Styela clava: one gene and its partner. The protein of the gene in region 1 interacts with the protein of each later gene in a pairwise test. Links are inferred from orthologs where the notes say so. Each region holds a gene or a part of one and is shown on either strand. Other genes may lie near its edges.

What was found.
Region 2: the proteins of actin-binding protein WASF3-like (region 1) and abl interactor 2-like interact in a two-hybrid assay, tested with the Drosophila melanogaster proteins (2 studies listed by BioGRID, with this or other methods). The link is inferred for Styela clava from reciprocal best matches to the Drosophila melanogaster genes SCAR and Abi.

Annotation. Positions count from the first base shown.
Region 1 is NC_135259.1:22,308,772-22,325,285, reverse strand, and holds the start of actin-binding protein WASF3-like, read left to right. Parts: upstream 1-9,469; 5' UTR 9,470-9,590; intron 9,591-10,471; 5' UTR 10,472-10,476; coding exon 10,477-10,582; intron 10,583-15,364; coding exon 15,365-15,526; intron 15,527-15,891; coding exon 15,892-16,045; intron 16,046-16,370; coding exon 16,371-16,514. Other genes in the region: uncharacterized protein LOC120337403, read left to right, coding at 6,101-6,198, 6,536-7,511.
Region 2 is NC_135252.1:4,670,504-4,687,365, reverse strand, and holds the start of abl interactor 2-like, read left to right. Parts: upstream 1-7,932; 5' UTR 7,933-8,032; coding exon 8,033-8,149; intron 8,150-8,481; coding exon 8,482-8,649; intron 8,650-9,334; coding exon 9,335-9,444; intron 9,445-9,982; coding exon 9,983-10,129; intron 10,130-11,448; coding exon 11,449-11,546; intron 11,547-11,964; coding exon 11,965-12,063; intron 12,064-14,247; coding exon 14,248-14,331; intron 14,332-15,033; coding exon 15,034-15,178; intron 15,179-15,431; coding exon 15,432-15,478; intron 15,479-16,716; coding exon 16,717-16,791; intron 16,792-16,862. Other genes in the region: nascent polypeptide-associated complex subunit alpha-like, read left to right, coding at 1-59, 370-384; inhibitor of Bruton tyrosine kinase-like, read left to right, coding at 2,438-6,619.

The DNA of each region.
Region 1 (16,514 bases):
GTGATATTGTGTTTTTTTGCAGTCTGTGTCATGCATATGTTTGAATCAGCTAAGGCCGTTGGTAATTTTGGTGTCGTATGTACAGATTATACTTGGATATTGTTGCTGTTATATCGTGCGTAGGTGTGGCCGTATTTGAATTTTTAATTTGTTACGAATTATGTGTGGCCGTGCTTGTAATATATTTTGTCCATAGATGATCCGTGCTTCATTGTAAATATTCATAGCTTAACAAAAATGTAAATAAATTCAAGCAATCGGTGGAGTTTGTGTAACGTCCCTCCTAGTTGGGATTTAGGGCGAACTGTTTTAGTTTTTTGCCTTAGAAGTTTGCACAGCGTTTCTCAAACTGCGTGAGAGATTGGCAAGTGTGCCGCGAAGCATTTTGGAATTTTATAAAATGAGCTATTCTTATTGTACATAGGCATGCACGCAACGGGTAAGCTTGGGAGCGCACTATCCATTTTTGCAGCCGCGATCGACTTCACTGAAATCTTCAAAATAACTCGCGACTGACGAATGAGTATGCTACTGAATATGCAGAACTGCACACACGCGTACAAAAAATTCGACCGATGCCAATTAGCCCAGCTTTGTTGGCGCATTTTTAATGAAATCGCAGCAAAAAATAATTTGATTATTTAATTGTACCCGGACTAAATGTTCATCATTTACTCAGGATTTATTCGAATCTTACAATTCAGGTCTAGGGCCTGCGTAATTACTTATCGATTTTAATCGGTAAGTATGTTGATAGGTGTTTGTCTGTCTGTTAGATGCACGCGATATCTCACGAAAGCGAAAATGAATCTGCTCCTAATTTTGCATGTGCATTCATCATATGTCAGACCAGAAGCCTATTGATTTTGGATGAATTATGTCGTATGATTAGCGAGTTATTCATTAATTAGTGATAGGACACAAGGTGTCACTATGGAGTAAAAGCGCTGTTTTGGGGATCCCCCAACTTTCGATCGATAAGTCTTCGGTCTCTGACCGATATTCTCGTTTTAAGTCGTTGAAAGTTCCCTATAAAATCTGGCGAAGTATTCATTTAATATCTGAACAGCGAAAAATAAATATGCTCAAACCATGAATGTTACATGACAGCTCAACCTAAATTACAATTTCCTCGTATTATGAAATCACAGAGAGAGTTCAATTGCTGCCAAAACAAGTTAACTGACTGCAGAGTAGCTGACGCTGCATTTTTGCATGTTTGTTGATATAGGAGGGAGTTACAGTAAGCAGTTTATAAAGTTATGCTAGTTCGCTTCTAAACGCTGCCTTACAACGATACAAGTGCACACTTTTGTTCGTTTTAATGTTTTGCTCTGGGGCACAAGGCCGGGCACCAATAAAAAATTTGAAAGGGGACCGTCATGAAATTTTTTTTCAAAAGTTTAGAAACCACTGGGCTAGTCCATTTACAAACCTTGACCGCGGCAAAACTTTGTTGCTACGTTATAATATGCTCTATCAGGCTGTATGTGATTGTGTATATCGTATTTTGCGACTGTACAGTACGCGATCGACTACTCAGTCAGTCAGTTTTCAGTAATTTATTTTTTCATCATTCCAAAGCACACAATGTGCCGGTCGGTGGTGTGGCTTGACACCGCACCCCTGTTAACCTGCGCGGGTTTGCAGGTTCGAATTAATTACTACGGTCCGGGGGACCTGGTTTCAAAACCTTGCACTCCCTCTATGAGTACAATACGTGAAAGAGCAACTCGAAATTCGCCGTCAACATCTTTTATACAGGATCGTTAATCGTTTTGTGATCAGTAATAAAGAGGAAAAGCTTCGTTCGCACATATAAGTAGTGCAAAACTGGAGCAATATTTCAATAGCTGCATTGGAAATGTGCTTATATTTTTCTTTTATTGAAATCCAAAACACATCAAGTGGAATTTCGCTGATTTTCAGTCTTAGCGTTCTGTCATTTCTTACTTCAAAGAAATCTTCTCGAATACGCAGGGGTAATTCTTTCCTCTAGCTCAAGTTTTATTTATATTCGATTATATACTACACGACTTCACGGAATTGAATTGGACTACTACTTGGAATCGACTACTACACGACTACAGGAATTTGAATTGGTGTCGGTCAAGCTAACGTAAAAGCAGGTTAACTTTACGTTAGTAGAGTAGAGTAGTAGACTAACATAAAATTAACAAAGGATAAAAAAAAATTGTAAAAAGAAGAGAAAAGTTGCAAGTCATGTGCGGCACACCTGGTATCGTCTCGCGGAGCACTGCTCTAGTAAACACGTTGACGAGGAAGTTGTTGTTGAACTCTTCTCACTCTTGTTGGGTGATATTTGTGGTATGGAGGATAACAATTTTCGGAATTGGTGGATGAGTGATCAATCTTTTGTTTCTCTACTTTCTAGATCAATTTATTCGGGAAGTTGGCTTCATTCAGACACGGTGTTGTTTTCTGGCTCTGGTCTGATGACAGAAGTGTAACTTGGGTTTGTTTGACTATCGACTTTATTTTTCGGGGTCTCTTCTGATTCATGGCTTGAGGCTTGTTTAAGACAGTGGCTTTTAACCAGGATGTAGGCTACCCAGTTTACAGAGATGTACCTCCGTACCGCTTATTTATATTTGGCGTCCGCATTTAGTCTTACTTAATCCATCGAGCACTGACTAAACTTTATCTCATTGGACACGCCCTTTAAACTAATCAAACGTCTTGTCGGAGGTAAAATATGTATGATTACATTTCCTACGAATATGATTCCCCTGTTGTCCCACAGAAAGTAGTCTGTTTTGGAGTTAATGATATCGATGGTGTCCAACCAAAATTCGGGAACTTTTTTTTATTTTTCTTATTTTCACGGATTAGATTACGATCTGATTTGGATCAATATTCATAATATGAAAATGTCATATCCGAATCGTAACGGTGCCTCAAGTGATCTTTTTTTTTTTTTTTTTTCATGCTTCAAGTAATCGGGAACGCGTCCCATATTGAGTGGTAGTTTAGTAACCTATCAAGGTAAATAATAGCTCATTTCTAAGCTATCAATTATGGTAGTTGAGATTCCAAACCATAAACTATCATAAAAAGGCTCCGCAAATGAGGCAATTAGACGACAGTTCAGTGTTTCTTCGACGTACGCTTCAATAACATCATTGGCATACTTGACCCGTATAAAGCTTCGCTAAAAAAAGTGGGATTTCACGATCGGGACGTTGGTAAGGCGGTGGGTCGGGGATATGAGGTGGATGGGTCGCGGATATGAAGATTGGGGCGGTGGGGCGAAGATAGGGAGGCTGAGGGAGGTCAGGCAGAGGGTTGAAGATAGAAAAGGTACCCTCCACACCTGTTGTAATTTCGCGCCGGAGGTGTGTGAGAGACTGCGTTAGATTTTTTTTTTGGTGGGCAAGCACGTGTTTTCTCATTTGAAATTCGCTGCTTTAATTCTCTATATATGTGCGTTCTAAACTCCATTAGAGATTTATATCTTTCATGTGCTCAGATTTTTTTTCATTGTAGCCTTTATATGATGGATTATGAATTCGAAATAAAATTACTTTACACGAGTCACGTGACAGACTATTAAAACGGGCGGAGTTCACTCAGGTGTGCTATGACGTCATGTTCGCAGCTGCTATTTCCAAACTGTGATTTATCACAGATTCTAAAACGAAATTTTATATTGTTTATCTTCCTCTGCGAACAATTCTGTACGAATTATACGATAATGAGGTCGTAAATATTTTCCTCATTTCTTTTGGATATAGTGAGAGAAGTGTTAAGTACCGGTACCCGTGCAACAAATCTAGATGACATTGTCGTCCAAAAGCTAAGAAGTCTGACAGCCTATTCCTGTACCGGTATTCTGTCTTAGGAGCCCGCTAAGATCACAGGTTCAGCTGTTTTCAACTCAAGTCTTGCAGTCTAGAATAAAGCGTTATCTTTTAGAGATTTCATTTCATAGGTTTTTGGTGATTTTTTGCATTTCTGACAGCGAGCGATGTCTCCCATAGATTTTGACTTGTTTATTTCAGTATTTCTATGCTATATAGGAATCTCAGACCCGAAATTTACAGAATTCGGGATCAGCTTTATTTATATATATTTACTGCAAGGCTAATTCTGGCGATTTCTCAGCTACCATAATCGTATACGAACATTTGAAACATCTATCAGAGACGGAGGAGGTCGTTGGGATTCTATTACATTTAATTTTATCTACCTGTCTTATTTCAAGCGCAATACTTATTTTACTCCATGTAAATTATCCACTGATTCAAGCAATTATTTGGCTTTTATCATTTTAAATTGAGTTATAAGGACTGCCCGATTTTGAATCGTGTCCATATTTTTTGTATAATCGTATTATTTCTATTTTATTTTTTGGTGGGTGGGCACGTACTTGTACGTTTTTTAAATTTATTTTAAGTTATGCTCGCCTTCCAGGTATCTCTGTATTTGTTGTTTGTTTACTTTTTTGTATTGTTCTGTATTTGTTGTCTGTTTACTTTTTTGTATTGTTCCGTTTTAGTCAGAGAGCCGAAATAAAATGATTGATTGATTGATTGATCATATGGGTATTAATACTGTCGGACTGCTGGACTGTGATGCGACAACATTGGACTGTTTCGACCTGCACAATCCAGCAATCGGTTGAAGTTTCCATTGTTTTGTAATCAGTAATCACAGAATCAGTACCGGTAGTTTAACACCAGGATAGGATAGGATTTTACATATTTATCCCGGAGGAGAGGAAAGCCGATACAAAGGCTTATCCATATGGCGAACCACGGCCTCTCGTCCGTTTACCATTCCAAGTCGGGTATGGGATTAGTTATGTTGTTTGTTTTCGGAAGCATGGACTTGGTGGTGGAGGAAGCCGTTATCGACCAGCAGTTACGTGAACCACCCATTCAGATATTGGAAATACATGTTGTACATATGGCAGTATGGTGATAAAATAAACAATGATTACAAAACAATGGGAACTTCAACTTGCAAATAAAAGTTTTGCCGGATTGATTTTATATCGTGTAGCGCAGGGGTCGGGAACCTATGGCTCTTTTAGTGACGGCATATGGCTCCCAGAAAAATCTAATATTCTGAGGCTATGCTTACTATTGTTACGAGATTTCAAACTCTTTTATAGCCACATTTGGCAAAAAAATTGCCAATACGTTTGTAAAGGCACGCCCAACGCATGTAAGAGAATTACCAGATACGGTAGGCATTGTGACAAAACTAGGGGATTCTGGAACATATTTTGTGACATCACAAAGCGATAGAGTCGCGGAGCAATCGAGAAAAGCTTTTTGTACATACTGGTTATACAGTATTTGTCATATACAGATCGGACTAGTAAAGCTAGTGTTTGAAATACTACGGGAATGCCTAAATGAAAGAAAGGAAATGAGTATCGTTGATTTCAACTTGTGCTGCATGTGAACAGTCATTCAAGGCCCGCAGCGACAACATGCAGCATCAGAAGTCACTTTTAATGTATATTGACATCATATTATGTGTTGACTTTTGAGTAAAAATTTCAGGTCTGATAAGTTAAGAAATGCATCTATGGCTCGCACCAAATGCAATTGAAAAAATGTACTTTTTATGGCTCTCTCAACCAAAAGGGTTCCCGACCCCTGGTGTAGCCTATGTTTATTTTATTGTGTTCTTTAACTGCTTCTGGTGGACGGCAGGCTCTTCCTGTTTTCAGTACTTGTATGTATTTTAACTTTGTCCGTGAGTTATGCCCGTTCTTCAGGTTCTCTGCATTTTGTTCATTCTTTCATTCTTGTTTTGTTTTATGTCAGGGTGACCAAACTACAAAAAAATAAAATTGATTGATTGATACTCAGTCTTCAAGGGGTTAATCTCATATCTGTCATATTCTGGTACCGGTATTTACCAACTGCTGGTACCTCAGTACAGCGGTACCTGAAAAGTCAGACTGAAGACCCCATATTTCAGTTCAGCGTGTAGCAATCCTTTTTAATTTGTTTGCTTATCAACCGATAATTGTTTAATTTTAGAATTTCAAGTTGGCACTTGGCAAAGTAGATTAAAAACACAATATGAATATATTTTTATCAGATTTAACTAATTATTTAAAATGGCGTCGTCATCTGCCAGTTGGGTTAAATTCTTCAAAGATGCTGGAATTCCAGCTGATCAAAGTGCGAAGTACGCTGTGATGTTTTCAGATCACAGGTAAGATGACCGATCGCCATGTGACCAAAATTGTTGTTTTTTGCTAAAAATATCTTAAGCTCTATGGTAAAACTTTTTTTCCGAGGAATTCAATGATGATGTTTTTAGATTGCGCCTTCTTAGTTTATTGCACAACTTCATTTTAATGTATTTTAACTGAGGGACAACTGTCTGTCCGCTGTCCACTCCATACGCCCTGGAAGAAGTGGTGTCTGTTTATCAGTGAAGTGGAATCCTCTGAAACGAGACAATGTCTCTAGATCTGTAAAGTAATTCTCACACACCCCTATTCTCATTGAATAAATAACCATCACCTATAACTCTTCTATTTTCACAGAATACAGAAAGGAATGCTCGGTGATTTGGATCGCGATATTTTATCCGACATCGGAATAAAAGCTGTCGGGGATAAAATGGCGATTATGAAGCACGCCAAGTTCGTGGATGACCAAACAAAGCGTGACGCTTCTTCGAAGATTCTTGCAGACGGAATTAAGACTCTTGAAAATCGTACGAGTAAGGGATCGTCACCGGCACAAAGAATGATTAACCATAGCATTAATAGCCGTTCACCTTCTGGTAGAAATTCTCCTAAAATTGTTGTCGAAAATGCAGAAAAACCGAAAAATTTTGCTGAAGATTTTGACCCAAGAAAGACGGTGTTTGATAGACTAGGGGTCGATTCACCGAACAAATCGCCTTCCAAAAGTAGCGGGATATTTAAGCGGCTTGGAGGGGAATTACCCAGCGAGGAACTCCCTTACGCTGGCATATTGAAAAAGCCGTCATCGCCTGTGACAACAAAAAAGAAAATTCTCATCGTTAAAAAGGCAAAGTCAACGAGTGTTCTCGATCGGCTTGGAGTGCAAAAGTCCCCTCCCCAAGTTGTTAAAAAACCCGTTACTGTCACCATGGCAAAGAAAGTTGTTTCAATTAAAAAGAAACCTGTTGCCGTAGCAACAACGACATCACCAACCAAAGTTTTAATCAAGAGAAATGTAGAAACGACAAAAACTGGGATTAAAAGGTCATCTAATGTACTTGATCGTCTCGGAGATATCGTTACAAGCACAACGAAGCAAACCGAAGAAGCGACTGAGGAATCTCCAGCTGTTAAAAGAAAATTAATAGTTGTCGGACAAAAGAAAAAACCTGCAACTTTGAAACGCAAATCGACCGGTGACATTCGGGAGAAAATTTCTGCTAAGAAGCCTATTTCAAGTAACACTGTGTCCAGTACTTCTTCTGCTGGGATTTTTAAAGGTGCAGCTCAGGCCAGTTCTAGTGTCTTTGCTCGCCTCGGTGCCAAATGATAGCAGCCACTAGCAAGGATGTCCAAAATAAATAGAATTTTGGAGCTCCAGAAATATGTGCACCAAGATGGCGCACAACCTGAACATAGTATATGTACCAGGTTAGGGTTCAGGTTGTGCGCCATCTTGGTGAACATACTTCAGGAGCGATGAATTTTCGAATCAATTTGGAATTTATTGTGTTCAATATTTTGAATTAATTTTTGAAATATTCAAAATATTTTCATTTTAAATTATTTTTTGAAGATTTGAAGTCACACAGTATCATGAAGTAAACCTTAATATTTCTGAAATTAGAAAACTAGCAAATTACTGTTTTCTGTGGTGTGTTGACCTAGTGGTCGGCAACACAGATTACTTAGCTTGGGTCCAAATTACTTCCCCCCCACCTTACCCAGGGTGTAATAAATTAGGTAGCCAATGCCAAACTGGAAGGAACAAGTCTTTCGAATAGGAGTAACTCCTCTCATATCGTTAAATGTCAATGGCTGCTTGTATAGAGCCTTACAAATGTTCTTACTGGATGGGCTGTGTGGTTTGGCAATGTTTTCTGGTACTGGAGCTTGAATCAAATTTTCAACTTTCCTGTGGTCTTGGATCAAAATTTTTTTGGATTCTGAACATGTTCTGTTGTTGGGACTGGTTTAAAAATTCAAAAGCATGCATTAGTGCCTTCAGAAAATAGGTCGAATGAAATATTCCTGGTTTGGTAAACGGGGTGATGGGAGCTGATTCAGCTGAATAATTTGTAATTTTTGAACTCATTGAAATTTACTGTTTTTTTTGTATTGATCTGATGTTTTTGCAGTAAAATTGTATCATATGTTACAGATTTTATACCAAAAATTCATTTTAAATATTCAAATTGGATTGCAAGATATGATTCAAGGACTATTATTAATATACGATCACTTCTATCCAGCTGGTTAATTTCAACTGGGTATTCCCCCTCCTTTTTTATCCTTCAACCATCTGTTTTATGATATTTTGTATGTTTTTCAATGATAAGGACAATACTATTCCGACCCCTTCAATATGGAAATTCAGTGATGCATATCTGGCCAGAATCTAGAATATCAAAATAGTACTAAGTGCCTTAGGAATTTACTTTAAACGTGCTGTGCACTGCTGTCTGAAACTACTATTTTCATAACTTGAGATAATCAGACTTTTTTAGGAAAAAATCTTTTAAATATTCAGGTAAATCATGATTTATGTCAAATGTTATGAGTCCTATTTTTACTCTTGATAAATTCAATACAAAATTATCAAATAGGATTTCAGAAACCCAAGCTATTTTCAGTCACCTGGTACTGTTCACAGGGTATTTGCACTCCCATAGTATGTGTACCAGGTTAGGGTTAGGCCATGATTTTATTCCGATTTTCCTTATTTTAGTTTTATTACGAGTTCAGGGACTGTCTGTGTTACCCAAGTGAATATATCCCCTGCCCATAGGCTTCAATCCCTTTACGCAACTTGATGTAAAGTGGTCGAACAAAATTAGTTACCTTGATATTGGTACACATACTTCTGGAGCTCCAAATGCTCTCCTTTCATCATACTGTTTTTTTTATTTTTATCCTGAGTATATATTGTACATTGACATGTTCATCCTGACCCTTTCACGAACAAATTAGTGTTGCATGATTGGTCAGATTATTCTCACCTTAATAGAAGGTGCCCATGTTGCATGATTGGTCAGATTATTCTCACCTTAATAGAAGGTGCCCAGTGCTGTAAGGACATGCTTGGGTTAACAATAGTTCAAATTGTAATTCTGGATAAATATAATTTCACATACTGGTTTAGTTTAGATTCAAATGCATCGCAAAGTTTGAAGCGTTTTTTGGTGATTGATAATGTCTCAAATAGCATTTGCATATTATTTTGTATTTAATGCAGAGCTAGAGTGTGTGAAAGTCGAAGACATATTTTTGATTTTACACATAGATTGGTACAAATTTCACACAACTGTTCATGTGCTTTTAATAAACCCTTTTTTATTAAATTTTAGATGTTACTAATTATTTAACATAACTTAGCTAAGATAAAATTCAGAAGTAGGAACAAATACCGGTGAGTTTGTATTTTACTTTATTATTTTAAAGAGCCTACAAAACTGTCGACTCATTGTTACTTATCGATTTTAATCGGTAAGTATGTTGATAGGTATTTGTCTGTATGTCTGTCTGTCTGTTAGATGCACGCGATATCTCACGAAAACGAGATTGAATCTGCTCCAAATTTTGCATGTGCATTCATCATATGTCGGACCAGAAGCCTATTGATTTTGGATGAATTATGTCGTATAATTAGCGAGGTAATAATTAGTGATGGGCATTAGTTGATGGGACACAAGGTGTCACTATGGAGTAAGAGCGCTGTTTTGGGGGATCCCCTAACTTTTGATCGATAAGTCCTCCGTCTCTGACCGATATTCTCGTTTGGTTGTCAGTACTATTCAGCTTCCTTATTTTGCCAATATAGAAACGATAAGAAAACTTTAAAATCTAAGGCTTGGCAGCTGGAGTTACTGGAGATATTAATTGAAAAGGGTATTACACCTAGATAACAGTTAGCAGTCAAATTATTTGTAACCATTTACCATTCAATAGCCATTACCGATTATTTATTCAACATCGGTTAGCCATTACCGTTAACCATGAACCATCCATTCATTTATTGATCAATCGTTTATTTTTTTTATATTGGTTGGTAACCGTTTGTTTAATATTGATTATCCATTTGTATTACCATTTAACTGTTTATTTGTTTATTACCGGTTATTAACCATATATTCAAAATTGATTAATTGCTTATTTATTTAATATTGTTAACCGATTGAATTACCGTTCATCTGTTTATTCATTTTATCACCAGCTAAAAATATATTCAATTACTGGTTAATCCTTCATTTATATTTTAATTCTCTAATTTCTCTTCCATTCTATTCCCAGTTACCATGCCGATCGTTAAACGAACAGTCTCGCCCACAGCTCTGTGTCGGCAGAAAATACCAAGGGGATTGAAGAATGAACTGGAATGTGTGACTAATAATACTTTGGCCGGTGAGTTGGGGGTAGTACATGGTAGTGAAAAAAGTTTTTGTGTTTTTATGGCAGCGGTTCCCAAACTTTTAGTCGTGCAGCGCCAAATAATCACAGAAAAAAACTCACGGCGCACTTCCATAACAAAAATGCTACTCATCAAATAAAACTCAATTTTGTTACAGCTAATTTGTACTTTATGCATTATAAAGTCACCCATGTTTGCTAAACTCGTTTCAGCAGATATATAAACTATGCACCTAGTAACTTTTGGGAACCAATATTTTATAGGATTTGGTTTAATATTCAATCAGCAATACATCTAAAATGATAAGGAAATTTATAAGAGAGAATTTTATCTTGTATTTATATGTAGTATTACTTTTGTCTTTTATAGACTGATATTTATCCCAGCATAACTGTATTTTTTAAATGAAAAGCGTACAATAGGAGGGAATTTTTTTATTTTGAAAAAGGAAATTTCATGTCTTTTTATATGTATTATATCTTTACTGATTTAGTATTATTACAATACATGGACACATTCAATCTGTGCAAAAGCTACAGTGCTGGTCGCCTGTGTCATTAGCTAGGGGTTTATTAAAAATGAAGTGCTTTTATGCTTAGTTTTCATCATAGCAAAGGCTATTAATTTAAACCACCTTTCCATCCCTGGTTCTTATTAATTTTACTACGTCTTGCGAAGGGCTTGTTGAAGGCCCTTTTGTAGATCATTTGTGCTGTAAATTCTCACAGTAGCCTACATATAGTAGAAAAACTTTAAACTTTTAAGCTTTGAATGGTTTGTTATTGGGATGAGAAAGTTCTCAACAAGAAACCGCCTTTGATGTGATAAATTATGTATTTGGAATGTGAAAATTGTCACATAGTCACATAAATAGGATCCTGTTATCAGATCCTTTTGTTTATTATTAAATCCTCTAGATTCGATATTCTGATTTGCACTTATAAATGTAGGGTAACTCATAAGAAAAAACAGAACCCAGGTTATTTGTAATTCTAGAGAGAAAATAACTCTCGTGCAAAGCGTCCTAGATTAATTAAATCTCTTGGTGCAATCCTGCACAAAAAAGAAGTGTTAAATAAACATTCTCCATTTTCATAATAATTACAAGAAGTTTGTTAGTTCTGCCCTGCATAACAAGTTCTAATTTTCTTGGGATGCAATCTGGTGATATTCAGTTCAATTTGATGTTTCGGACACAGGATATTGGTTTTGGATTTGTTTGAATATTAAATTATTTGATTTTGGTGATCTTTGAATTTTCAGAGGCTCGGCAGTTGGTTCATCGTGCTAAGCCTAGGAATACACTTGCAATCCAAGCGTACCTTTGATTACCAGGTTCGCACTTTCAGTCCTTCGGGGAATAATTATATGCAAGATTATAACTACTATAACCGACTTGACGTGTTGTCGTGTTTCACTACATGATTAAGCTGGATATGAAAATCCCGGGAGAAACGATTCATCAATATAAACAACAACAACAGATTTACATGAGATATTGCGCAATAACCCATGCATTATTAAATCACAATCTGGAAACAGACGAAACCCCCTCGTTGGTCAAAAATCTGAATAATTTATATTTTCGCCTGAAACGATACCTGAGGTAGTGATAAATATTTTAAAATCTTCTGAGATAGATTTATGTTTGAACAAGCATGGCCCAAATGTTAAATGAGCGTCTATGTCTGTCCCACACGTTAGTTATCATTTTAAAGTGATCAATATGACCCTTGACCCAGGAAGTGTGGAAGTGAATATTTATGTTTAATTATTTAGTTCCTGCCAGTTGGTTGACGCAGTTAGTATTCATGAAGGTTTCTGGTACGAGGGCTTTGTTAGAACGGCTGATTTACGGTTTGTGAAAAATAGGTGGATTTCTGCTACTGGGATTGCTTCACAGAGATGAATATTATTGTTTTGTTAGCGTTTTGTGATACATCATGTTAATGAGTTGACGTTTTCTGTTTTTTGTTGACGTTTTCTACTTTTCATCGCTAAACCCACAGAGTGGCTGTATTTAGAAAATTTGTACAAATTCCAACAAATTTGTCAGATTATGTAAATTAGTTAGGGGTCATAGGTGATCTCAGATTTTGTTTTGTTTCTCACAACTGCTGATATATTTCAGGATATTTTAAATAGTGGATATTTAATAAAGCAACTGGCTTTGACACATGTTTCAAAACATGACCACTGAGGTAGTCATTGATGGTAGGTTTCTTTTATTATTTATGTTGGGGATTTCCCTACCCCACACTGTCTGGAAAATCAATAGATTGTTGGAAATATATCGACGCATGAAATCCAAATTGGGCTAAGTCCATTTTTCTAGTTTTTCTTTTTTTTATTTCTCTAATACCTTACATCGAGGATGTCTAGTTTTTATGGTCCACCAAAGTTACAATGAAGGCCATATTTAGATGATATAAAAAAAAATTGTGCTTCGCCCCAATTTTTTTGGGGGGGGGGGGGGGGGGTTGGGACTTAACCCTTTTTGGCTCTCAATTTTCTGGACCAGAAACAATTTTATTGGACTTAGGGCCCCTTTATTATGTCATTATAGAGGCTGGTATGGACTTAGCGCTTTGTATTATATTTTTTGAGAGGAGCTATGTCCAAAAAACGGACTTTGCCCCAACTTACAATGCAGTTATCCAGCGCTAAGTCCACTATAGTAGACACAGCTCTGTTTAGTTCTCAAATGCCCTAAAAAAAGCAGGGTTATGTCCATAGCTGTCTTGAGATCTAGAGCACCTAGAGATAAGGCAAATAGACCAAAATGTAGAGCTAAGTCCAGGAAAATCAGCAATTGAAAAATGTCATTTTTTGGAAAAGTGGAGCACTGTTTGGTTTTGAGGTGTCGATATGTTTGTTTGTGAATTCCAGAGCTTTTATATTTTATGCTGGGGGTTTCCCTACTCCCCATTATCTGGAAAAATAAATATGTTGTTGCATATATATATATGTCTGCAGATTCCAGAGCTTTTATATTTTATGCTGGGGGTTTCCCTACTCCCCATTATCTGGAAAAATAAATATATATATATGTCTGCAGATTCCAGAGCTTTTATATTTTATGCTGGGGGTTTCCCTACTCCCCATTATCTGGAAAAAAATAAAGCATTGACCTTTTTCTGATTCTTCTTTAATGCTATTGTATTTGGAATAGTAAATTATCCAAATAAGTAAATTTAGGAATAATAAAATATTGAAACACGTTCATAGCATATTTTGGTTTTAGGAATAATCAACTGGTTGGAATAATGGAGCAAAATGGCGTTTATTCACTTCACAAACTATGATTTCACCTTTCGAAATACCATTTTAGTAGGAATAGTAAATTATTCAAACACAGTAGGTTTAGGAATATTTAACGGTAAACCAAAATAATATGCACAAATTTTTGGATCTAGGGATAAACTAGGAGAGTTAGAATAACATAGCTCTGTGAAGCATAGCTCAATTTATCATATATTCCAAATTTTAGGGATGATCAGCAAGTTACTCTATTCAATGTCTTGCTGCACACTTGGCAAGAAATTCACTTTATATGGATGCATTTGATTATTTAATAGAATGCGTTAGATCTGGTTAGTTACTCAGTTTGCCCAGTCATGGTCTTTGCTCATCAGCATGTACCTTATATTATGATTGATTCAGAGACAGGAAGTCTTAGAGGAAATGAACCTTATAGTAGGCATTAGTGAAGGGCTGGCCCTCTACTATAATATTGTAATATATTGACCTCTTATTAAGTAGACTTTGCAATCAGGAATTATGTAAAATGGCCGTAAAAATAGAACAATCCATCAAAACATTGTTCATCTCAACTAGTCTGCATCCATAAATCCATTTTTGGAAATTTTTACTAAAAATATGAAACCCATTATATCATTCTTTCTAGCATTTACAAATTCAAACTCATTTTTTATGCAGACCCATTTGGCGATGTTGTGACATTTCAACTGATAATAGTACAAATAAAGCTAATATTCTTCGATGATCACTCTGAAATTACTTGAAAGTCAATAATTCGAAATACGTTAGGCCTATAAAATAATGTTATATAACATATTCTGTATGTGCCAATCCAGGATAAATCAAATATTGGGACATGTTTGTTATAGATGAACAGATAAAGTTAGTCTACAGATCTTTCCTATTAGATTCAGTTTATTGGTTTACACCAGCATGATTTTAAATTTCCAGATTTTCAAGCATACTCTGTAAATTTACATTAATATAAACAGATTTTATCATGTTGTCAAAGGAAAATGGAGAAATTTTGTTGATTTGTGCAATATTGATAACAATAAAATAGTTAGCTGTTCACACCTTTTTGCATTCACTGTTCGTCGTGGTATTTAGAGTAGCATTATTTTTATTTTGTTATTCATTACCGAAAATGATGCGCATAAATATGACAAAGCATTCTTTAAAAATTAGAGAGCTGGAGGTCTACACAACCACGGGTTGCCATTTACAATATTGTAAGTCTTTAAAGATGTCCTGAGACTTTTCAAGACGATTAAAATGTAATTTTAAATCCTTCTTAGGAACTATCTGACTCTTAGATATGAACACTGTGATCAAGGCTTCACTCTTGTGTGAACATTATTGTCTGTTACGAATTTTTGTCTTTCCCTAGAGTATATCATTTATCCTATTTCTTCCAAATTGAAGACGTAGATCCTTGCACAGGGCTTTGTTCAAAGCGAACAGAATGAGGGGAGCGTTGTATAAAAACATATAATTTATTTTGATATTTTTAGGTGTCATCCATCAGCTTGCCTCGCTCTCCCAACATGCGGAAGACATCTTTGGTGAACTTTTCTCGGAGGCGAACTCATTCTATGGTCGAGCATCGTCATTAAAAGATAGAATCGATCATCTGTCAGTCAAAGTCACCCAGCTGGATTCCAATGTAGAGGAAGGTAAACTTTTCGAACTTGTATGCCCTCTCGAAAACATTCGTGATCTCCTATTTTAAAATAAAATTCTCATCGGTTATTTAAATTTTGGGTATTCCCGTAGTGTGTGTATCGGGTTAGGGTCAGGTCATACTTTTATTCCGATTTTCCTTATTTTAGTTCTATTATGAGTTCGGGGACTGTCTGTATTAGCCAAGTGAATATACCCCAGGAAAACTGTTCTATAGCCTCCTAGAGTTGACGAGGGCCCACACTCTGACATCAATCTGATCTGTTCGAATTTGCCGATCAATCATTATTTAGCAGCGTATAATTTACTGGCATGTTTCAGTGGAAAATTACTAATTACATATTTTTTTTATGTTCAGTTTCACTCATCGACATCAACTCAAGGAAAGCATTCAAATCGTCAGTAACAACCGACCAACAAGTAGTCTCAAGGCAGTCTCTGTCTCGTTCCGTATTGAATACTTACAAACAAGCCGACGCCCCACCCCCACTGCAAGAGCTCAATCAATTCAGGTTAGTTTGCTTTAAGAATTTGAATATTTGTATTTGTTTAACAGTAGCTATTCTACTTACTCATTGGGTACTCCTGTAGTGTGTGTACCAGGTTAGGGCATAATTTTGTTCCAATTTTTCTTATTTATTAATTTCTATTACGAGTTCAGGGACTGTCTGTGTTAGCCAAGGGAATTTACCCCATGCCCATAGGTTTTAGATACAGAGTGCAACTTTGCTCATAACTTTGCTCCTCTGTGACTTGTCTCTTCTAGTTTGTAATGCACCCGCACAAGTTTGCTCTGAAAATCTTTTTTTAACTCACTCACTTGATCATATTTTCCAGAGAGGATGGCAAGGACGGGCTCAAGATCTACACCGACCCTGATTATTTCTTTGATTTGTGGAGAGAGGCGATTCAGAAGGAAACGAGGGAAGCTCGAGAGAAACGACGAGAACAACGGAAACGAGATCGAAAAGCAAATCCAGA
Region 2 (16,862 bases), on another chromosome or scaffold:
GTAACAAAGCCATTAAATCTCTCAAAAAGAATAATAATGATATTGTCAATGCAATCATGGTGAGTTATGAAAAATGGTTTCGATTTTAAGATCTGTGGTAATAGGATAACATCAGATTATTTTGCTTCTTTCATTCTGGGTAAATCAAAGTTGGCTATTTTTTTTACCTGTTCAGGATCCTTGGTATAAGAAATCTAATAATACGACTCGCTTTCCTGTAACCTGTGCAGGGCTCGTGTCTTACCAGTTAATTGTTCTCAGTGGACGGGGGATTAATCTCTCTGTAATGAGTTTGAAATTGTTATTCAGCATTTATGCCATGAATGTATTCGGATTACTTTTTGTTAATGTATGCATTATTTTTTGCAGGAATTAACTATGTAGCGAAGGCAAATTTCGCACATGCTCATCGGCTGGTCTCAACCATGCGTCACTATGACAAATACTGTGGTGTAGCTTGTCAATCATCATGATGCAGTTCTATTGTTTTGGATTTTTGACGCGTTGCTGTTGTGCATGAATTGCGAAATGATTTGTCGGTTCTCCTTTTGTAATTTTGTCCCATTTTTCATGTACAAGTGTTTGAAATAGTATGTTGTTGGGTGTTTAGGAGATGTGCTATACCCCAAGAAATAAAATTCTGGCCAAAAATAGTTTTATTGGAATTTGTCAGATTTTTTGAAGCCAAAGGGAAGTTAGTTAGAATTGGAATTTGTGATTCCGTGCTACTCGATTCAGACAGTTTTATAACTAGAGCTGCTAGATCTCATCAGGTACTTTGTTTGTAACGTGAGTTCGACGTATAATGACATTGTCTTGCAGAATATGATCTCCTTTGGAGACGATTATTTGCTACAGAGTTTCTGGGCATGACACGTTTCTGGTTCTGTGGTTGGCGCATGATTTTATTAGGACGTCGGATCGAACCGGTTAGCGCAATCACTGGTGGTTATTGCCTCATTCTCCGCAAAAGCCTATACATCTGGTTCAATGAAATGGTTAGAAATTCCCCGACTGGATCGGTAGCCTGACGCGAGACCGTTAGTTTAGTAAAAAAAAATCGTGGTTCAGATGATTTCGCAAACGCCCAGCTCGTCATTTCACCATTTGAGGGAGACAGAGATCTTTCTCTGCGAAAAGTTAGAACTGCGCCTTTGAGGCACAGTGCCCGTAGCTGAGTTGTTTGCTAGGCAGTTTGTGATTTGCTTTCAATTTTATATTTACGGTATTCCGGGGGAAAGAAAAGAAGATAATATAGCTAACCAGGGTCCTCTCGTCTGGTTACTAGTCCATGTCGGATAGGCTATTTGATTAGTTACGTTACGCAATGGTATTGCATGTACACAGGCAGACAGGTAGGCCGATTTCTGACATTGTGATACTGATGAGCTAGTCCTAGATCCGGTACCGGTACGGTACCGTACCGGTACTCTAGATTCGATTTCAATATCAGCCCCCACTTTGAAAGACATCAATTATAACAGTGAGTGCAAACCCCTAATTTGTGAGGCGCGATTTGATAACTCTGTCCAGTAACCAATTCTATTACCGGCATGCTAACTGTAAGTAGCCCACTTAGTTAGTAGTATTCATTAATGATTCCTGAGCATTTTTTCTGCTGCGCATACTCCAATGAAAGAAATACCATTTAAAAAAGTGTATATATTTTTATGTCTTGTGAGTTTACCAAGAAAATTATGATGATTTTGTTTTCTTAATTATATTAAAGTTAATTAGAATACATTTTGTTACAAATTATGATTCTTGTATATTATTAAATTTTAATGATCCTTTATTTTGTCATATAGGCTAAGTAGTGTAGACTTAAATGCAATTATTCTTTTAATATCAATAGTTCGATATAAAATTTGGATTGAGAAATTCGATCATATTTGAAAATAAAACACCTGATATAACACTTCTTAAAAAACAGATAAAAATGGCCCTAGAGCATAGAAAAAGTACCGGTATAAAAAATTCCAGAGTAAACAAACCCTTTGAAAAGGATTTACAGAATTTATGTGAAGCAATTACGTAGGTTTATGATAAGTTTTATTATACATTTGCTAATTTTATTTTTATTTTTTTATTGTATTATATCATTACAATTATTAAGATAATTTCAATATTATGACTAATAATCAATGATGAAAAAACTATGAAAACCAATTTCAACAAATGGTGAATGGATTATGAATTCAATGGAATATGGACTTATTTTAATTTGTACATTTATTCATTCTTTGCATATTTATTAAAATCACTTATTCGGTAAGCCAATCAAAAAAAAAAAGTGTGTAAGTTACATACCGTGATAAATATTGTTTGATATATATTTAAATTAGATGTAATACTGTAATATGGCATAACCTTTACATGAATCTAGTTATTCTGAGGTTGAAGGTGGGCGTTTGAAGAGGGTGAGCTTGGAAATAGTATGTCTGTTCCACAAGAATGGTATGAAAACTCTGAATGCGGCCAAAAATGCCGCAGTCCAGAATGTGTTGCAGATCTCAACTGCATTATTACTAAAGGAAATGCATTGCAAATTAAAGAACATATTCGAACTTCTTGTCCGACAGCTACCATACGTTGTGATACTTTGGGACGAAGTGCTATCCACTTAGCTGCATCATGTGGCAAAATAGAAGTATTGGATTGGCTCATTGCAACTTTTAATTGTAACTTAAATGTCCAGGACAGAGAAAGTGGATGGACACCACTACATAGAGCTGTGTATTACGGGAGACTTGGTTGTGTAATTTTGCTCATTGAACATGGTGCAAATATGTGGGTAAGGGACAAGGAAGGAATGACACCTATGGACATTGCCATGCTCGATTGTTCACCTTGGGTAAGGTATCTTAGATTTTCAAGGCAAACATATAAAATGCCTTGTGTTCTTAATAACTCAGATACATCTGAAGTCTATACATGGGGTATAAATGACAATTTTGTTCTAGGGCAACGAAATCTAAAGGAGTGCAAGTTACCAGAACCTGTGGATTTCTTTGTCAAAAGGCATATCAATATTAAGGAAGTTGCTACGGCTAAATTCCATACTATTTTTGTTACCACATCTGGGTCTGTTTACTCGTGTGGACATGGGGAAGGTGGAAGGCTAGGAAATGGTAATCAGGAGGCTTGTCTTGAACCAGCACAAGTTTCTCTTAGCATAGGTGTGTGTGTGTTATCAGCAGCAGTTGGTTTGAATCACACTGTACTCACTACAGATTCTGGTCATCTATTAGTTTGTGGCTTGAATAAGCATCACATTCTTGGTGTGTCTTCATCATCAGATCGTGAGTTAGTTCCTGTTAGAGTTCACGGAGCTTTGAAAACTCTACGTGTAATTGGATGTGCTGCAGGTGTATTGCATACTGTTGTTTGGACTGACAAGGGTCGCTTATACACTTTTGGTGCGAATGCTGGTCAGTTAGGTCATGCTAAAAACGACCTTTACGTAAAACAACCTCGGCAAGTATCAGGAGTTTATAAAGAAGGGGATGGTATTATTTGTGTTCATGCATGTGATTCTGCTACTATAGTTTCTACACGACAAGGCACTGTGTACTTGTTACAAAATTACGTTTGTCGGAAAATAGTATCGAAACAATTGGATATTGTAAAAGTTCAAATAGGTGGAGGAAGATTGGATGTTTCGGCTCTTTCTCAAATTGATCAACGACTTCACTCTGTTCACAATTTGTTGAAAGATGACAGTTTACATGTCATAATGAGCAAAAAATCTGGTGATATATTGTCATGGAGTAAGGCTCATGGAACACTCGACAGATGTAAATTCAACCTGCCGCAATCATTTCTTTTCAAAGACATAGCCATTTGCAATCATGGACATACTGCCTTGTTAGTCACAAATACAGGACAAGCTTTTGTTGCAAAGTATGGAAACTGGAAAGCTCCCAAACCTCCAAGAAAAAATTCACAATCAGCGGTAAATACAAAGGCATATGATAGCTGCTTGGATATGTTGGATGCTGATTCTGTACAAGAATTTTCGTTAGATCAGGTATGTTGTGTTTTTCGTGCACATTCTGGTTACATCGGACCCAAAGCAAAAGCAGGAGCCATATTGCAAAGTGAACCACGTATCTTTTCCACTGATGTTCCTACGGTTGGCGATAGTGAACTGCAAGAAAATATTCAGAAATTATGGGAAGATGTCACTGAAAATGATAATGTCCATGACATGGTTGTAGCCGCTGTTGATAGCAAAGGGAATATACTATTATCAATACCTTGCCACAAATTCATTCTTGCCTCGCGTTCTCAGTTTCTGAGAAAAATTATCACACACCAGACGCGAAAAAGTACCATCGAAAATGAGGATGAAATCACATCGGAGGATGTAGAACAGAATGGTGTCTTTATGAATGAAAATTACACAGTTAACATTGATCATCTTCTTTTTGAAAATTGTGATCCTTATGTGTTAAGAAATCTTATTGAGTTCATATATTGTGAGTCTTGCGAATTGTTACGCCCAAAAAATACTGTTCCAGCTGCTGCTAAAAATATTAATTCAACAGAAACCAGAATTTATTGGGAAAGTGACAAAATCACAAACTTCTCTTCGGCAAGAAATGGAATTGATTTGTCAGGGAAAATTCAAGTTACAAATGGTAGTATTTCTGCTTTTGCAGTCTATCAAGAATCGGATAAACATACAAAAAAATCAAAATCAGAAAAATCTTCCAAGCACAATTCAACATCCAATCTTCTTTCACAGTTTAAAACTCTGGCAAAGAAACTTGGTATAAATAGATCTTTCTTCGATTCTATAACTCTTCAGGATGGCGTAATTCAAGTGAAGAAGGGCACGAGTAGCTTTAAAGCTATCTTCCCTTCATTCGACTGCCACAAACTTCACAGTCTTTGTGATATTGAATTAGAATGTTCCGATGGAGTTATTTTAAGGGCCCACAAATGTATTTTGGTAGCTAGAATAGAGTTTTTTAGAAGCATGCTATTATCACAATGGGCGGAAAGTAAAGGTATGATCACAAAGGTGCCGATTCCGTCAGATATTTTCAAATATGTGCTGGAGTTCTCCTACACTGATTCCACTTTTGTATTGAACCACTTTCTGTCACCAGAAACACTGTGTGAAGTAATGGCAGCTGCTGATCAACTACTGATGAATAGGTTGAAGGACATCGTAGAAGTTCAGGTTGCTTCACTATTAACTTTGAAGAATGTATCTTCGATAATAGAATTTGCGTCTGCGTTCCACTGTCCACAGCTAATAAAAACATGTAGACAATTTATAATCCATCATCTACCAGCACTCATGCATACACCGAATTTTTATTCAATAGAATATTCGACGTTGGAAGAGATGGAAGATTCATACAGATCAGCTATCAGTGCTGTATATTTACGAGGTATGCCACCTAGTACTGAGGGTCCACCACTTCTCGATGTACCAGAGAATTTGGAATCCAGCTCTCTCTTTCCAATTTTTGAGCCTTTATCTCCAACTGATAAATCTTCAGTCTGGCCTGGTGAAGGGCCGCCTTCACCCCAAAAGAAAAAGTCATTTGGGCAAAGACGAAGTAGTAAAAGCAGGAAAAAATCATTCTCAAAATCTTCAACTGGGGGCATTATTCTGTCTGATCTTTTGTCTAGGAATGATAAAGATATTGACAGTTTCGTTGACAGAATTGCATCTTCAAAGAATAAAGCTTCACTTAATGAAAACACACAACTGGATTCTCATACGTCTGTGTCTCCACCCAATAATAATGCTTCAACTCATATTGATTTCAACGATAATATTGATAAAAAATTAGCTGCTGTCAAGATCAAACCGATACAAAAAGGTTTTGTGCCAGTCTCAAGTCCACAAAATATAAACAAATCTAATTTTCAAGACATGGATACTCAGAAATCTCAATTTCCCAGTCTATCTTCGAATTTATCACAACCAAATCATCCTGCTCCATCATCACATATAACTCAAAATAACCCATGGGGCTCTATGGCTGGTATTGCTGCAGAAACCAAAACTTATCCTGTTGCTATTCCTATTAAAAATAGTAGTAGTGTAAACCATGGCGGATCTGGTGCTGCTATTACAATGAAACCAAAAAAGTTGTCTCAAAAACAAAGGAAAAAGTTAGAAAAAGAAACTGCTAAATTAGAAGTGGAGAGTGTTACTATCCCTGCTGCTACCTCGCCTCCTATTAATGCTTGGGGTACAGTAGCTAGTCCACCTAGAACAGACTCCAGGTCTTTCTGGGATGTCATGAAAGAACAATCAACTTCACCCAGCCTTATTGTGCAACGTCCAAGAGTTGTATCACCAGATAAAATGACAAAATCAGAAATAGATAGTCCATGGCAAATGGCGCCTAAAACTTTACAAAAGGATACATCAAAAGACTCTGCAATCCGACCAAATTCTTCGTTTAGAGACATAATGCAAAGCACCATGAATCAGGCTGAGGAGAGTTTAAAAAGAATGAATAAACCATTGCATGATATTCAGCTGGAAGATCAAGCGATGGCAGAACTGAAAGTGCATTACCAAAACACAACTCCACACATTGACGAACAATTTTTCACTGTTGAAAGGATCTCAGCAAAGTACACTTAAATGACATGACATGAATTGAAGAGCAACCCATGTGAAATAACATTTGATGCTGAGGATTTGCCTTAGTACAGTTTGTATTGCAAAATTGATATTTTTGTGCCTTAGTTTTCTTTGTGCAATATGATACTTGATTGCTATTATTATTTTTTGAAGTTTCAAAATATCATTTTTTATGGATTACAACCAACCATAGATATCATGTATGAACAGAAGAAGTATTTGGTACATAAATATTTTTGTCATTAAATTTGAGAAGCTATGTTGATAGAGATAGGTTTGTATATTCTGAATTTTATATTCCAATCACATCTGAAGAAAGGTATTTTACGATTCTTTGCCAAATAAAAGAATATATTATAATAAAACACACTCGACTCGGGACTTCAGAGCGCAGATCAGTCTCTGGTTTCAATTCTCATATATGTCTTAAAACGTAAGGAACTTCCTATTTTTTCTTCTCTGTACTAAATGAGCATTTGTGAAGCATTATTCTATATTAAAGGTTGGTGCTGGTGTAGTTTTAGGCATAATAGTTTCAATGTTATTTACTTTTTTGTAAAGTATTACATAGTGGAGTACGAATATTTTCAGGCGTCTTTAATAGTCTGTTTTACAATATGCTCAAAGCAAGGTCCCACATTTCACAACCATTTAAAGCTAAACGAGAAAATTATATTTATGAAAAAAATGAATGATATGTTTGTCATCATACACTTAAAGATAAATACCTAATCAGAGAAGAGACCACTTTTTTCCATTATTTTTAACACCATATGTACCAGTATTGCTGGTGTTATAGCTTGTGGTTACTTTTATATCAATGGTACTACCGAACATTTAATTGAACCATACTATATCTTCATCATATTGTAGTCAAAGTGAAAATAAATTGTTGTTGAAGTTCCAAAAAAAAGTAAGTTTAGCACAAGAGTTGAATTGCTTCACATTCCTGCTTTTTGTATTGTGATTGGGCTAAATCTATGCTTTCTACCAAATTGTAGTTTGTTATTTAAAATCACCATCACACATGCATATTACAAGTCAAGATTTTTTTCAAGTTGTCTATCAATTATGACAGCATATTTTTCATGGTTCAATGACTAGTTTACTGTTTTGATGCCGCCACATACTTATTGTTGCATTTGCTTTACTTCTTTAAGTATTTTGGGCTTGCTTGTCTTGAGCTACCCTAGCAAGTGATATGATGGAAAACATTTCAGATATATTTATCAGTTTAATACATCAGGTTTCGTTTCAATTCTACTTCTGAATTACCTTGTATTGCTCGCTTAATAGCATCTGTGCTTTATTTATTATAGGTTCATCGCAGTATTATCGATATATCTATAGGTTTAATAATAATGCAGTGATATTGATCGTCTGATAATTCAACGAATAATTTGATAGTCCGATATGGCTGAGCTTGATAGTTTACTTCATGAGGAAATCCCAAGTGGAAGAAAAGCTCTTTTGGATAGCAAAGCCAATTTAGAAAATGTTGCAAATTATTGTCAGCAGATGTATGTCGATGTAAGTGAAGATCATAATGTGCACTCATGTTTTGGTATTAATAGCACTTGACTTTCGTTGAGTGGATAATTAGGTCCACTATATTTTTATTTTATTTGATTACAATAGATAAACGTTGAAAGGAAATGTATACCTATTGATAATGTTTGTTTCTGAAATGCCAACATCCCCTGGTTTTATGTTGGTTAATTTTGAAAATGAACGCTTCTATATACCTAATTTTTAGTAGATGTGATTAATTCTGGTGAATTAAATATTATCATGACTGAGTGTATTATTTACCTTTTTTGCTAAAAACTAGATTAATTAAATTACCATGTACTATTTTTTAGGCTGACAACAAAAAGACTGCACTTGATGAAACAAAGAACTTCACAACTCAGTCTCTTGCATCTGTTGCATACCAGATTAATACATTAGCCAGCAACATGCTTCATATGCTTGATATACAGGCTGCTGAACTTGCAAACATGGAGTCGTCAATAAATAATATTTCAATGGTAATATAACGTGTTTCTTATTTTTGCTACAGAATTTATTCGATTAATTTAATTCTTTATATATTGATTTTAGCCAATATTTTGCAATGTATTCAGCCAGTAAATTTACTTTCCGAATCTCATTTGTACTTATACCGAAATATGTGTAAAGGAAGTTATAAGAAGAATATTCAAATTTAATTAAAGTTAGTACACAGGGCGATCCAAATAACACAACCCAGCTTATTTAAAACATATTCGGGGCTCCTGAAGTATGCGAACCAAGATGGCGGACATCGGAATGTAATATGTGTACTAGGTTAGGGTTAGGCCATAATTTTAGGTTTAAATACTACGGGAGGCTCTTGGCTAGTCTTCGAACTGATAATAGGACTAAAATAAGGAAAATTGGAAAAAAATTATCGCCTAACCCTAACCTGTTACCCATGTTACGATCCGATGTCCGCCATCTTGGTTCGCATACTTCGGGAGCACCACATATTCTGATGAGAGCATAACGTTTGTGCAAAGTGTCCAAGATTACTGCAACTTTTGGGTACAATCATGCACAAACATAAGTTCAAGTGTGAAATAAATTTTCTTCATTGTCGTGGAAATAATTACTAAGCAGTTTGTTGTGTCTTCTTTTTGGGCCGCTCTGTTTTATATACAAACTATCACTACAACTCAATTGCTCTCATTTTAGACTGTTGATATTCATAAAGAGAAGGTGGCAAGGAGAGAAATTGGTCTTCTCACGACAAACAAAGTCATCACAAGAAATCATCAGATTGTTGCACCATCTAATCCAGACAGGTGCACAGTTTATTATGATTAGAATATTTTACTTTCAACAGAAAATTTTCAATTTATAATGTTGTATTTATGGACAAAATGTGTATTCTAATATAGGAATTATTAATAGTATCTGTTATTTTTATAGTATTGGTTATTTAATATCACTTTGTAGCTGAATTGCCATCAATTTAATTGAACAACATTTCAAGTCAAAATTTCTGTAAATTTAAAGCTTTTAAAATTTTTCTACAGTTGAAAAAAGGGCCATGGCCCATGGCCTTCATAAAATTGAACCTAGTGGTAGAAGATTCTAGTGTTGTTATTAATATTATCCATGAAATGTGGTAATCTGTTCAAATATTAATGAGAGCTCTAAAATAAGCCAATAGACAACTGTTCAATGAAATTTGAAACAATTATTTTTATCACACAAGTATTCTAACACCTTAAAATATACTGAATCTAGTTTTTTTAAAAACAGACCAGAAATGCTCAAACACCCATACACTGCAATATGATGTCTTTTTATTGGTGCTATATTTTATTCAATTCACAGAACTGTCAAGTATGTACGAAAACCAATTGATTATGCTGAATTAGATGATGTAGGACATGGTGTGAAACTTGCAAACCAAGGATCTCAGAGCGGAAATCTGAATGTGAGGAGAGTCTCAAAAACTCCAAGTCCAAGTGTAGATGGAAGGTAAATTCATATCCTATTAATGTATCCTCTGGAAAATGTTTACCGAAATGTTATAGGTTATTACGGTAGTAAAATGCTAATATAATTGAATAGTTCAGGATTTGATGAGCTATTGTGCTAATGCTTGTTCCAAGTCATTTATGATTTTTCATGGCTTTGCTCATGACGAAATCTCTATTAAAGCAATTCGTTGTAATTTGCTCATTTGACAAACCAAACATTTGACAAACTGAATTGACATTTGACAAACTGATAAACAATGACTTCACTGGAGTTAAAACCAGAGAGGGATCTTTGATACCTAGCATTCTGAGTATTTTGAGATTGTTTGGGGCCAGTTATGTTATTATCAGGCTCAATTATGACATTCCTATTTTGGTGTTGGACGTTGCAATGTTGTATCGCGAGCACAATCATATATTTTAAAATGAAAAAAATGTATACATGATATTTCAGCAGCACAGGAAATTTTGTTATTGTTAGTAATCATGTTATTGCAATTTGAAAGGCAATGTAACTCTGTATTCTTATGTTGGCAGATGCTTATGATATGATGATTGTAGCAGTGTCTCATGTTTGCACTTATACATAGGCATGAAATTTTTTAATGGTTTGATCATGAATTCAGAATTATTAACAATTCTAGATTATTTGAGTGATTCCAAAATACCGAATCTTATTCTGTTCTCATTTCTAGTAATCTGTGGGCATTAATTCTTCCATCACATTGCTGGATTAATGTTCTTAAGCTCTGAATGTCTCTATATTTAAATGGAATGGTTCTGAGAATTAGATTGTATTTGTTAGCAATTGGCCATATCTCAAGATAATGAAGTTTCAAAATTTTGATTATATTATTTGAATGAAATTGTACAAATATAGATAGAGTAATCAGTGTCTATACATAGCTTGTAAGAAGTAAAGACAGGGAAATGACTGACTCATAGAAAATTTATCTTCAACAAATTCATTACTGACTATGCTTAGATAGATCCAAGGTTATGGCTGAGTATAAGAACATGAATAATATACTCGCCTGTGTTTGAATGCCTTTTTATACAAAATATTTACATGTGTTCTGCCCCGAACAAGGTTTTGCGCAAGAGACTACTGTTATGTGAGAATCTACTTCATATTGGAAGGATCGGATATTACCAGTTTGACATTACCCAATTTATTACACCCTGCGTGGGGTGGTTGGCATGGGATTTGAAACAGAGATTTTGGCATGGCATGTGTCTAATGCCATTAATCGCCAGACCACCACCATGACCACATCTTTTATCTGGTAGTTAAATTTTGGTTTTGTTCATTTCCAGGAAACGTGACAGCTTGAAAAGTGTCACCAGTTCAACTGGTTATGGCACAATACGAGCTGTGCGAACACCGACTGTACCAACTGACTTCACCGCAAGTAGTAAGTTTATTTATTTCAACAGAACATCATTTTATATGCTCTATAAATACTTTTTCATTTTGCATGCCTAAATGCTTACTTAACAGGTGACAATAATATGGTGACCTATTCATGATTTTCCTTCTTTGGATGATTGAAATTTATTATTACATGATTGCGCCTTCTGTGATATTTGAAACCTATTTGTTGTTCTGGAAAATTTTTTTGATTATGCTACTTGCAAATAAGTGGTAAATTTACCATATATTGCATGTCTTTTGTTGAAATGTGTACTTTTCACAAATCTTCTTCCGGTTTCAACAATCCCTAATTTATATTGTTTCGCCTGTTTCTATTTATATTTCGATTATTTTAACAATATATATAATTTTGCCTTTTTTTGTTATTTTTTGATTTTACATCGAATTTTTTCACAAAGCAAAACGACTTCCCACCATGTATCGAAATCGAACAAACAGTAACAGCAGTTCAGGTTCTGGAAGTATGAGCTCCAGTGGTGGTTATTACCCTGGATCAGGTAAGTGTATTAGAGCCGCATTCATTTAATGTAGTGAATAATGAAAAATTACATCAAGTAGCCCACTTATTATCTCACAGTTTTGTAGAATGCTAAATGGTATCTTACCTCCTGAATTTTGATGTTGCATGTTGGTATGGAAAATTAATGTAATTCCATGTCGGATGGGACAAAAAATTCACCAAGTCCCACCCATCACAGGATTTATTTATGCTTTTCATATATCAGATGAACTCCGTAGCCGTACCAGCCAAAAATAAATCGATATCAGATTCAAATCGGGGGTTCGAAAAAATTATTTCCACCCTTCTGAAAAGCAATCAAAATTTCTTTCACAGAACCTAAAAACTGGATGTAATACACAAATTAATAATTTAGAAAAAGTATACAAAAGTTTAATAACTGATTTTATAAAACCTACACAAAATACCCAGATTTTGAATGATGTTAAACACAAAATGCACCTCTAATACTTGACAAAATTTGTTCAAATTTTTTTTTTGCTAGTATCTTTAAGATCTGGCTTGTAATTGGCCTCAATTGACTCCCTAAAACCATTCCTTTGACTTACATTCCTACTAATAACTAAAAAAAATCTTTGTGTGTTTGGTAAAGAATTTTCAATATTTTGATGTCTCAAGTATTTATTAATACATGAGATTGTCATGTTAAATTATTATCAAAAATAGATATTTGTAATAAAGAAAATATCAGTTCTGTGGTTAATTTATTTTGTAAATAATCAACCTGCAGAATAAACTTCATTAGACAGAAATGCTACGAGTTCGACTGATAGTATGAAGAATGTAAAATAATGTGATATACGAGGTGCTGCTAAAATGAAACGGGACTGACGTCACAGATTGCGCAACACGATTAACCATCGGTAATCAACACTTCTGCAGTGTGGCGTAATATGTGTTCTTTGTTTAACAGCTGTTTTGACACAATATCGCAATTATTTTTGCTTTTCAGGATCCATAAGTGAATGTGATAAATTTCTTGTTGAAAAAAAAAATGCTGTGCGAGGTCTGATTGAGTTTTTTGGCGATAGGGGGTTCAATTGCAGAATGACGATTGAGCAAAGAATTAACATTAAATTTTGTGTCAAACTTGGAAAAATGCATGTCAACTGGGCATGCATTCAATTGTTGAGCTTTCTGCTCCTCAGTCAACTCAAGAGCCTTTGGCATCATTTTGGCACACACCTTTCGCATTCCCAAAGTGTCAACCAAAATGGTGCGGACCGTTTCTTTGTTCATCCCAATTTCGTTGGCAATGACGCGAATTGTTAAGCGACGGTCACTGCGAACCAACTGCCAAACCTTTTCGATGTTGGTATCAGTAGTGGAAGTGCAAGGCCTCCCTGACCTCGGATCATCCTCCACATCCTCCCTGCCTTCCACAAATCGCTTGTGCCATTCAAAAACTCTTGTTCTGGACATGGAAGAATCTCCATAAACATCACGCAACATCTGCAAAGTCTCAGTCGCCGTTTTTCCAAGTTTGACACAAAATTTAATGTTAATTCTTTGCTCAGTCGTCAATCTTTAATTGAACCCCCTATCGCCAAAAAACTCAATCAGACCTCGCACAGCATTTTTTTTCAACAAGAAATTCATCACATTCACTTATGGATCCTGAAAAGCAAAAATAATTGCGATATTGTGTCAAAACAGCTGTTAAACAAAGAACACATATTACGCAACACTGCAAAAGTGTTGATTACCGATGGTTAATCGTGTTGCGCAATCTGTGACGTCAGTCCCGTTTCATTTTAGCCGCACCTCGTATATCATATTATTTTACATTCTTATTCTTACATTATTACGTTACATTATTTTTCATTCTTTTTCTACATTCTTACTAAAAATTCCATTTTGGGAAATTATATCTGTTTATTAGGTTCTATTTACTGGTATTTGTATTTAGTTTTATTTTTACTTACGCTTTGTTTTGCATGGAAAATGGATTTGCAAGTTAGGCATCATTTTTCATCATTCATTTTCAAGTTTTATTTGATTCATATTCATATCCTAATCATTAGCTGATGCATGTTATTGATCCATTATTTCATATTTGATAAATAGAAATTTGGCAGGGTGATTTATTTAATACTGGTGCAATGATATTTATGGCTTCGAGCTTACTAACACAATCTAACACGCATTGTGAAACTTATAGGCCCTGCTGCTTCACAGAATTCCCAATCTGTATCAATGGCCCCTCCACCGGTGCAAGGACCTCCAGCACCACCTAGTGTGCCTGGTAAGTTAGCTCTTTCTCGACCCGGTAATTTCCTATTGTTGATGATGCTCACTTGGTGTTTCTCAGCTTCTAATAATGCTCAGCGTATAGCTCCTGATGATTACACAATAGAATAATATTTTGACCTATTGTTCAATACGGCACCAGGCATGAAAATCTCCCTGTCTAGTCGATCAAGTAGGCTACGAAACAAATATGCAACAAGCTAGTTAGTTGTATAAAGCACTTGAATATGTGGTACCCGCTGTACTGAAGTTGTAACTCAGATGAGACTTACCTATCATTCTGCATAATCTCAAGAAATCCTATTGAAAATATGTTTTCCTGTTTTACACTATTACGAACAAGCACTTGTCATGAGTGTACAAAGTTATTAGCATCATTTCGTATTCACTTAATAGCCTGCTTATCATGTGTAGAACATATCAATCTTGAAGACTGAACTAACACTCATTTTCATGATAATACAAACAATGCAAGGGTGTTACTGTTTGTATTACTATAACTTTAAATACTATATTTAATATTAAAAAATTGTCATTGCTTAATGTAGTAATGTAATGTAAAATGAAAATAACAATATTGGTGAATGTCATTGTCTTGTCAAGGACTGTATTCTGTATTGAAAGGTATACATTTGGAATATATTTTAATTGAACAACTATGTCATCTATATATTGCATTTCTATTCAAACTGTCTAGGTGTTATGCCACCGCCACCAGTGATGTCACCCACAATGCCACCGCCACCCCCAATGGAAGGGGCTCCACCCCCACCTCCTCCACCAGTGATGGCTCCACCACCACCTCCGATGTCGCCAGGATACAGCACACCCAGTGTTGGGAGGTGAGCGTTTTGTTTATATTTATGACTTGGAAGAAGAAAGTTTAAGAGTAGATGCTATTGGTGCCTGGATATTGTTTGAAGTAAATTCGTCAGAGGGCGGAATCTGATAGAGGTGAATCATACCAAGTGCCACATTATGACCATTATAACCATTTTTACATTGCAAACCAATATGAAAATGCTATATTTTTCATCACTGTTTAGCCAAACAATTCTTAAATGAGTTTGTGTTTCATTTTTTATACAAAAATAGGGTTCCTACAATGCCTAACACAAATGAGGGATATGCTTCTGCAGCTGGTAAGTTTTATTCGCAATCATTCTTAATTTTTGTTTGAATCTCACCTAACTGTTGTTGTATGTTCTGAACACTAGAAATTTGATGTCGTTTGTGTGTGTGTCAAGTAACAGCACTAGAGTTTGCTTTCTGCATAGCTTTGTAAACTTGGTAACAAATTTACGAGATGGTATGACCACGTCATTATGTCTAGTCCTATTATTTTAGCATGTTTTTCCATTTCCGATGGTTATATATTGATGTTAGCATGTTGTAAAAAGTATTGTCATTTTTAATGAAATGTAGTTTCAAGATTCAGAGCTGTGACTTGCTCAATTTTAAATCTATAGTTTCAACAAATTATTTACTATATAGTTTATGCCTAAGATTGAGTTCTGTGTGATGGCAGACAATTTTGGCATTTTTTATCATTGATGTTGTCAATTATATTCATAAATCATATAGTGTAGTTTTTGTTTAGTATCTTGAATCCATTTGTTTTGGTAGTATAATTATTCAATTTAGCTGAATATTGAATAAACATTCATCTGTTCATTCAATTTCTTTTTCGATTAATGTAGTCTGCAAATGATGTAAATCAATCATAATCTGCTAGGGATACTTGATTTTTAAGAACAAATGACATTTCTAGAAGCGTTTCGAATAATACTGAGTTGGAAATAAAAAAAAATTATGCAATTCACCATGCTTTGGTAAAAATGACTGCTTGGCATAAAATGGATCAGACAACAGAAGACTTGTGACTATTTCCCATCATTACCATGACAAGGTTCTAAGAAAATTCGCCGTGGGAAATTACCGCCGTAGGGAATCCTGCCGCAGGAAATTTCGCGCATTGGAAAAATCGCAGCAAGAGCATTTTGCTGTAAAACAAGTATTTGTGATAAAAATAGTTAGGTTTTTGAAGTTACCTTTTTATTTAAAAAAGATTCTTTTTTTAAGAGCATACCCTAACCCTATAAACCAATTGTTTTTATCACAAATACCTACCTACTTGTTTTACAGCAAAATGCTCTTACGGCGATTTTTCATGCTATCACAAATACATGTTTTACAGCAAAATGCTCTTGCGGCGATTTTTCCATGCAAGTTTTATTTTTCCTATGTGGCAAATTTTCCGGACACGCCTTGACACATAAATATATATAAATACTGCATTGCAAATTAGCTAAGAGTTTATCTGCATGAATTGTGGAATTTTTCGATGCATGCTTGCACATTGTACTTGTTCAACATCTAGTCTATGATCCTCCACTCCCTCCACCTCCTCCATCATTTGACACGGATACATCTGATCTGCCTCCACCAAATGATGGTATGTACAGCATCATTTTAAGTTTATCAATTCACGCATGTATGTATTTGTGCTTAAAATAAAATTATATT